Ovis aries: one gene and its partner. The protein of the gene in region 1 interacts with the protein of each later gene in a pairwise test. Links are inferred from orthologs where the notes say so. Each region holds a gene or a part of one and is shown on either strand. Other genes may lie near its edges.

Evidence for each region. The genes of interacting proteins can lie anywhere in the genome.
Region 2: the proteins of ZNF277 (region 1) and GNGT1 interact in a two-hybrid assay, tested with the Homo sapiens proteins (3 studies listed by BioGRID and IntAct). The two-hybrid records come from large-scale screens. The link is inferred for Ovis aries from reciprocal best matches to the Homo sapiens genes ZNF277 and GNGT1.

The regions. Positions count from the first base shown.
Region 1 is NC_056057.1:57,592,459-57,596,378, reverse strand, and holds the end of ZNF277 (zinc finger protein 277), read left to right. Parts: intron 1-1,082; coding exon 1,083-1,257; intron 1,258-2,708; coding exon 2,709-2,895; 3' UTR 2,896-3,066; downstream 3,067-3,920. UniProt on the Homo sapiens protein: Probable transcription factor. Involved in modulation of cellular senescence; represses transcription of the tumor suppressor gene INK4A/ARF, perhaps acting via the Polycomb group (PcG) complex PRC1.
Region 2 is NC_056057.1:11,982,138-11,987,241, reverse strand, and holds the start of GNGT1 (guanine nucleotide-binding protein G(T) subunit gamma-T1), read right to left. Parts: upstream 3,372-5,104; 5' UTR 3,334-3,371; intron 3,097-3,333; coding exon of another isoform or gene 3,009-3,096; exon of another isoform or gene 2,931-3,008; intron 1-2,930. Other genes in the region: TFPI2 (tissue factor pathway inhibitor 2), read left to right, coding at 3,009-3,096, 3,372-3,554, 4,752-4,931. UniProt on the Homo sapiens protein: Guanine nucleotide-binding proteins (G proteins) are involved as a modulator or transducer in various transmembrane signaling systems.

The DNA.
Region 1 (3,920 bases):
CCTGGGTCAGGAAAATCCCCTGGAGGAGGGCATACAAGTTAATGATTAATTTCTATCGTAAAGTGGAGGGGGCTAGTGGAAAAAAGCATGGATTTTGAAGTCAGACTGGAGTTCACAGCCCAGCTGCAGCACTTACTAGCTGTGTGACATTGGGCCTCCGCTCAGCAGAACGTCGTAGAGAATGGATAGTGTATGAAAGACACCTACTGCTCTGCTTGGTAGTGTAGCTCGAGTGTTTATAGATGTTATAGATGTACTCAAGTAGATCACCGTGATAGAAAAATTAGTGTCATGAAGACGTAAAGTACTGACTTGCTAATATATCCAAGACCATAAAAAGCTCACTGCCCACCCCTCAACTCACAGACTACTTTCCTAGACTCTTGAAAGTGCTGCTGCTGCTGCTAAGTCGCTTCAGTCATGTCCAACTCTATGCGACCCCATAGATGGCAGCCCACTAGGCTCCTCTGTCCCTGGGATTCTCCAGGCAAGAACACTGGAGTGGGTTGCCATTTCCTTCTCCAGTGCATGAAAATGAAAAGTGAAAGTGAAGTCGCTCAGTCGTGCCCAACTCTTAGCGACCCCATGGACTGCAGCCTACCAGGCTTCTCCTTCCATGGGATTTTCCAGGCAAGAATACTGGAGTGGGTTGCCATTGCCTTGCGTTGCTTTACTTTATTGCTCTTATACACATGTATATGTGTTGTGTATGTAATAGGTTAGTAGTCAAGAACATGGCTGTGGAGCCAACAGCCTGGTGTCAAATCCTGGCTCTACCACTTACTGGCCTTGCAGCCTTGGACAGCTTCCTGATGTATAATGTGGATACGGTAACACCTATGTGGTAGGGTATTGTGGAAATTAAACGTATTAATGCATGAAAAGTGATTAGAGCAGTGCCTGGTACATAAGCACTATATAAGTACTGGCTGTTATTATTTTCTGCCTATTATTATGCTTTAAATCCGCACTGCCTCTTCAGGTTGGTTAATAAAGAGAAGTGGTTCTTAAACAAAAAATTGCAGCGGTGCAAAAGTGGGTCTGACCGGTTGTCTGATGATTCTTTATACTATCATTTTCAGGATTAAATTTCTATCAGCAAGTGAAATTGGTCAATTTCATTCGGAGGCAGATTCACCAGTGTAGATGCTATGGCTGCCATGAGAAGTTTAGGTCCAAAGCAGACTTAAGGACTCATATGGAAGAAGCTAAACATACTTCACTGCTTCCTGAAAAACAGATATGGGATCAACCACAGTGAGTTCTGCTCAACCAGACATATATTTCTTTGCTCCTTCTCCATTATCTCATCCATTTATTTAATTCCTTTAAATTTAAATAAAAAATAAATGCAAGTCTATTGTAAAAAGTAAAAATCTTCAAAAACCTTGATTTTAAAATAATCTCCCTGTTACAGGTGTAATCAACTACTTCAAATTTTATGGTGTAGTGATATGGATAGCTATAGATAGATACAGAAATATAGATTTTTAAGTTATATTTTGTTAAGAAAGTATTTAAAAGCATCTTCTATATCCACTACACATCTATTGCATCATTTTTAATGGTTGCCAAATATTCCATTGTATGGATGTTACCCTAATTTGCTAGATGTTCAGGATTTGTATGTTTTGCTCTTCTAAATAGATGCATATGCCTGCATTTTTGCACACTTGCATAATTATTTCATTTAGATAAACTTCTAAACATAAAACTACTGTGTCATACAGTATACCACTACTAGGGCTTTTGATGCATTTTTTGCATCCTGGCGCTTTTAAAAATATCAAGCATTTGTTCTTCTAGTATGTACCTGTTGAGATGGTCTCAGACTCCCAGGTATCCTTTGCCAGTCTCACCTTCTGAGATGGTTCTCAAATCAACTGTGGATAATCTCAGTTGTAAAAAGCTCAGTTGAGGGAACCTTTGGGAGGTTGTGGGGTTCCAGCTCCAGAGAGATTCCTCTGTTTTCAGGGGATGTTACATCAGAGCCCCCAGGAGTCTAGGCAAAAAGCTCCAGTTTTTCCTCTTCAGAAAATTCCAGATTTATGAGAGACAGAGTCAGCCCTGGACTAACCTGAGACCCAGTTCCTATAATTCTTCTTATACAATTCAAAACCTTTATATTTCAGAACTAACTCCAGAGTGTGTCCAGAGAAGGAACCAGAGTAATAGACTTAAAATGCTATAGATGTTTTTAATTTTTTTAATTTATAATGAATAGTGATGATTAGATTGGGGGGGAACCCCACACCTGGAAACAGTTGTTTTTATTGGATATTTGAAGGAGTAGTGTATGAAAGAGTAACTGTATTTGAACTTTGCTGTCCCTAGGGGAGAACTGAAACTTTTGAATAGAAATGAGAGGAATGTCGTTTTTAGCTTCATACAAGGAGGTATTAAATTGATAGCTAGATCTGCCTGATAGTAGAGTAGGCTGCCTTTTAAGATAGTATCTTGTTATGTTAAATATCAAGCAAAGGCTGAAATGCCAGCTAACAAAGATACTAGTAAGACTGATGTCAGCCAATAAAGGTCAAAGTAAAATTAATTCAGAAGTTCTCTCCCTTACAGCCTTTGCAAAATGTAGTTGAAACTGTTGGCAAAGAAACTTAGCAAAATTATAGTAATGTGTACATTCAACTGCTGAGAAATTTTCTAGATAATCTATAGTTTTGGTTATTCAGTATATTTGTGGTTGTTTTCAGGTATTACTTTCCAACTTATGAAAATGACACTCTGCTGTGTACACTGTCTGACAGTGAAAGTGACCTGACAGCTCAGGAACAAAATGGAAATATTGCCATCATTAGTGAAGATACATCTAAACTGCATGCTTTGAAACAAAGCAGTATTTTGAACCAGTTGCTACTACATGAGTCCTTGAAAAACTAGAAGAAACTGCCACAGAAGCAATGTTTCATGTTTTCTCCCAATAGACAGACACGAAAGAATACTTCAAAGTTGAATGTCAACAAAGGATTAGTCCTTGGTAAAATAAACTTTTAAAAAATGATTTTTTTCCAAAAGTAAAGTGGAAACTAAATAAAATGAAGGCTTTTTGTATTTGGGCTCTAAAGTTTTATTATATAATCATTGTAACTCATATTTATCTATAATAAGGAAGATATGTAAATCAAAGAGAAATGAAATGTTCAAATTGTTTATACACCTGATTTCAACCAGTAGTTTCAGTTTCTTCCCCACAGACTTCCTTCTTCCAACAAGTCACAAAATTTGACAGCTGAGTACTTTCTGTACCACACTGGGTCAGCTGTAAATGTAGGACCAGCAGAGGAGCCACAGAAGAGAGGAAAGATGGTCAAAGTCCTGGATAATGCACACGTTGGACACTATTTTGGAATAATCAAGATCTGACTATATTATTCGTATTGCTTTCCACCTAAAGTTACTAAACTGAAACTCCTTAAAAATGGACTTCAAGACAACTTCACTTTCCCCTACAGTGTGTACATGGCTAACAGATAAGTATCGTTTTTTTATAAACATGACCACAGTACCATTATAACATTTATAAAATTAACAGTAACTTCTTAATATCGTACGTTTTCCATTGTCCCTAGTTGAAAAGTGTGTTTAGTCTACTGCATCTGGTGCTGTCAGTCTGATGCACCATTATAAAGTTCGCCATCAAACCATTTTAGTGTCCATTGGTATATATTATCTAGAATATTTCTTTAGGGCTTGCACAATGGTGATTTTCTAATTCTATCATTTCTTTACCAATGGGTTCTTTACAGCGTGGGTGCTCAAGAGCACTGGAGTCTGAAAGTTCTAGTTTTGTTTTTTAATTTATTTTTTAATTGAAAGAAAATTGCTTTACAATATTGTGTTGGTTTCTACCATAGAGCAATTCAAATCAGCCGTAATTATACATATATCCCCTCTCGCGGGAGCCT
Region 2 (5,104 bases), about 46 Mb from region 1:
TGACCCCAAGGACTGCAGCAAGCCAGGCTTCCCTGTCCTTCACCATCTCCCAGAGCTTGCTCAAACTCATGTGCATTGAGTTAGTGATGCCATCCAACCTTCTCATCCTCTGTCATCCCCTTCTTCTCCTGCCTTCAATTTTTCCCCAATTAGGGTCTTTTCTAATGAGTCGGCTTTTCCCATCAGGTGGCCAAAGTATTGGACCTTCAGCTTTAGCATCAGTCTTTCCAATGATATTCAGGACTGATTTCTTTTAGAATTTACTGGTTTGATCTCCCTGCAGGCCAAGGGACTCTCAAGAGTCTTCTCCAACACTACAGTTCAAAAGCATCAATTTTTCAGTGCTCAGTCTTCTTTATGGTCCAAGTCTCACATCCATACATGACCACAGGAAAAAACCATATGGACCTTTATCAGCAAAGTACTGTCTCTGCTTCTTAATACTCTGTCTAGGTTTGTCATAGCTTTACTTCCAAGGAGCAAGCCTCTTTTAATTTCATGGCTGCAGTCACCATCTGCAGTGATTTTGGAGCCCAAGAAAATAGTCTGTCACTGTTTCCATTGCTTCCCCATCTATTTGCCATGAAGTGATTATCTCAACATGATCCTGGCTAAATGTCTGGTGAAATTTCCCTCCCCTATTAGTATTTGGGAGGTATTGGGAAGATCTAATCTGATTCTCAGAGGAGTATATCTTTCCAAAACCAACTGGCTGCCTCAGTGTTTGACTTGCTGGAGCTAGCTCACATTGGCTCTGGTGAACGCGACTGTATTCATCCATTCCCAACTCTGGTGGTTTGGAATCAGCCATAACTGGGAGCATTTACGCCATGGAAATCAGTAACATATTCAACCCAACACACCCCTCCCCCATTTCATTTTTCCTTCCTGGCAAACTGGTTGTTCAACCTTTATCCTTATAACCCTGTCACTCTTAACCACAGATATCCAGCAATCTGACAGCAAAAGAGACACAGAGTATTTCCAGACCAGGCTAGTTTTCCTAGGAATATAGTCCTTTGCCATGACACCAGGAAAACTGAAAACTGGCCCTAGGCATTATATGTGGAAATATCCCAGATTACTAACTCACCTTGAGCAGAGAGATTTTCCGAAACTGGAAAGAACTCTTGTAAATTCCCTTCAGTATCTTCAGAAGAAGCCAGGAATAGTTACTTTCTTAAGAATATTAAATAGAGCAAGAGGAAAAGGTGGAGGAAGGAAAGACACAGTCATCAAGAGAGCCCATTAAAATATTCTCCAAAAATATCCTTAACATTTCATATAAAATCCCAGTGTAGATCATTTGTTTTGTATAAACCAAAGACTAGGCTCACACTATTATGTCAAAGTACCAATGAATGGTAATAGACAAACTGACCCTGAGAAATGTATGGGAAGCAGCTGATTTGGTCAAAGCTTCAGGACCTACTCGCCACATCCCCCAAGGCTACTGCTCTTTGGATTTTCCTGTTTCGGGTCCAAAAACACAGTTATGACTCAAAAACACGGCTGATAGGGGTGGAGAATCATTTTGGAAAACTGATTGGCAGTTTCTAACATTTTAAAATATTTTACTTGAGAGTAATAAAAGTTGTTTGCATACACAAAGCAGCTTTATTCATAGCAGTAGCCCCAAACTAGAAATAATACAAATGTCCAGTAATAGGACATTCACTGTATACTCATACATTGCAAGACTACTCAACATTTACAAGGAACACACTCTAAGACAGCATGTGAGTGTGTGTGTTAGTCGCTCAGTCGTGTCCGACTCTTTGGGACCCCATGGACTGTGACTCGCCAGGCTCCTCTGTCCGTGGGGTTCTCCAGGCAAGAATACTGGAGTGGGTTGCCATTCCCTTCTCTAGGGGATCTTCCCAATCCAGGGATTGAACCTGCATCTCCCACATTGCAGGCAGATTCTTTACCATTTGAGCCACGAGGGAAAGCCCCTACAGCAGCATAAGTGTGTCTTAAAACCAGTAAAGTGAAGTACAAAACAGTACAGATTTTATGATTCTGTTTGCATGAGATTTAGAACAGGGAAATCTAATTTATGCTGATCAGAAGAGCTATTGTCCCTGGCCTCAGGTTGAAGGATGGACTGGGAAAGGGTATAAGAGAATGTTCTGGGGTGATGACAATGTTCTAATTCTGGATTGGAGTGGTGATTACAAAGGAATATATAATTGCCAAAATTGACCCAGCTATACACTTGGACATATTATGAGCCCATGAAATGTAAATCAGACCTCTACTGAAATATGTGGTTGAAAGTGTTAGTCGCTCAGACTGAAGCCTGCCAGGCTCCTTTGTCCATGGAATTCTCCAGGCAAGAATAGAGTGGGTTGCTATTCCCTCCTCCAAGGGATCTTCCCTACCCAGGGATTGAACCTGGGACTCCTCACTGCAGGGAGATTCTTTACCATCTGAGCCGCCAGGGAAGCCCATATCTATGTCTAAAGGTAAATAGATACGCATATGCTTACATTTCTAATCTAATGAAAGGATCTAATGTAATAAGCCCCGCTTCCTTGGGCCCTAGGAGTTTCACACTTTCTACCTGCCAAAGACACAGACTTTGTGCTTTCAAAGTGTGGATTCAGGCCTCGGCGTGATGCTGCAAGCTGGAACCTTGTGCAATCACACCCAGGTCATTTCCCTCAAGCTTGTCGACTTCCCATCTCTGACACAATGCTTCATCTGGGTCATCCCCGAAGAGCCACGGGAGAAAGTTTGGGGCCAGGTTCAGCTTGGCGGGGAATTCCTCTCCCCCGCACACACTTTCCAGCGCAGGGAGGCGGCCGGGTCACAGAGCTCACGGGGCATGAATCAGCCTCCCCTCCAGGCTCCACGAAGGCGCGCTCCGCCCTGTCCCGTCTCTGAGGGCCGCTAACCCTACAAAAGCAGCGGCACCCACCGCGCTGGAATCCAGACCGCTTGGAGGCTGGACGCTGTGCACCCTCCTCCGCTCCTCTCGCCGGCACCGTCTGAATCCGGACACCATGGACTCGGTTCGCCCCCTCTGGCTGATGCTTCTGTCGCTGCTCCTCGTGGGAACTGCGCTGGGTGATGCCCCGCAGGCGCCGCCAGGTACCCCACCAACCCGCGCTCAGGGGACCCCTTTTCGCCCTGGCCAGGCGGCAGGAGTTCCGCGGACCCCTGCACCCGCTCTCTGCGCCCTCCTTCCCCCTAATTCCTGTCGTGCACCGCAAGTTTGCACTTCCTGTCTCTGTAAGGCCCTTCTGCTGGGCTGGGAAGCTGCTGGGACAAACCTCCCCACCCCCACCACCCTGGGGGAAGCCCTCCCTCCACCGAGATGCGGCTGACCTCCTCCTCTGCCTCTGGTTCTCCTACCCCTCCTGTAGGAAATAACGCGGAAATCTGCCTCCTGCCCCTGGACGACGGGCCCTGCCGGGCGCGGATCCCCAGTTACTACTACGACAGGTACACGCAGAGCTGCCGCGAATTCATGTACGGAGGCTGCGAGGGCAATGCCAACAATTTTGAAACTTTGGAGGCCTGCAACGAAGCATGCTGGAAGATTGAGAGTAAGTGCTCGCTCCCACTCCCAGAACTCCAGTACTGCGGCAGAGAAGGGCTAAGTGGGAAATGAGCTTATTTTTCACATCCCATAGTAAGTTTCATCCTTGATTTTCTCGGATCCTGTTTGGCTTATTGCTTTTCAGTTGACTAAAAGTGATCATGAAACTTCCAACGACAAACATTTCCTGTCCCTTAACTGGCATTTATCATAATTCAGTGTGTGTGCAGACTCCGGAAAGATTTCACCTAAGGCTTAAGGATGCAAGAGTGTCATGTATTAGGTGCAACATAAGTGCCTGTCTGTATTTATCATTAGTTCTAAACCTATGGTTTTTATGCCTTCTTGAGAGGGCATTTTCCTCTTGTCCACTGTGTAGCGATCTGAAATACTTTCAGTGGATTTTGTTATTAACGTCTGAATTTAGCTAATTATAACCTTACTTTTATCCCTTGATACCCAAAGAGATCTTGGGTTGGTATAGAGATATAAAAAATAGAGAGATTCACAATGCTGTTTGCAATTTTAATTATGTTTACTGTCTCTGTGAAGGCCTGTAATAGAACACGGGGCTCAGCTGTTAAAGGAACTGAGCCAGGGAAAAATGTGTATTCCTATGAATAAGTTTGATTAATTTCATACATTGAAACAATCAGAACACTCTGAGAGAAGAATCTTTCCAGTAAGCATGAAAAATTTATCACAGCTGTATCGGGTCTGGAGACACTGTTAAAAAAATCAAAAGCTGAATAGAGTTGTCTCTCAGTGTCTGTGGTGACTGGTTCCAAGACCCCAACTCTCTGATGCCAAAATCCACAGCATTTGCATATAACCTGTGCATATTCTCCCTTATACTTTAATTTATCTCTAGACTCCCTACCAGCATAGGACAAATTCAAACTTTGTTTTTTTGTGTGTTTTTTTTAATGAACTTTCAGGAATTATTTTTTCCTGAATATTTTCTCTCTGGGTTGGTTGCATCTGCGGAATGCTGGACCCAAGGATACAAAATCTTGTTGTTGCTGGACTAATGGGCAATCTTTTGGGCGTTTACTAGCCCAGCGCTAAATATCATGCCTCCCACCCCCATCACCACTCTACCCCTGGCCACCACCAGTGGCTTCTGAAAATACAGTTAAGTTTTAAAGGAAGAGTAAGAAGGCTGATTTTTGACTAACATTGTTTTATGCCCTCGTTTTCCTAGAAGTTCCCAAAATTTGCCGGTTAAAAGTGAATAAGAAGCAGTGTGGGGAGCTCAGAGAACAGTATTTCTTCAATCTAAGTTCTATGACCTGTGAAAAGTTCATATCTGGCGGGTGTCACAGCGATGAGAACCGGTTCCCAGATAAAGCTTCGTGTATGGACTTCTGTGCGCCAAAGAGAGGTAAATACTCTCTTTGTGGTGTCTGTACTTCATTTCTTTATTTAGACTTTAGGGTGAAAACATTAATAATTGATACGAAATTAAGCTGGTTTGCATGAATTTGTGAGAGTGCGAGCTAGAAGTTTAATAACTTGCCAAGTTCTCAGGGCTGGAAAGTGACGAAGCTCTGATTC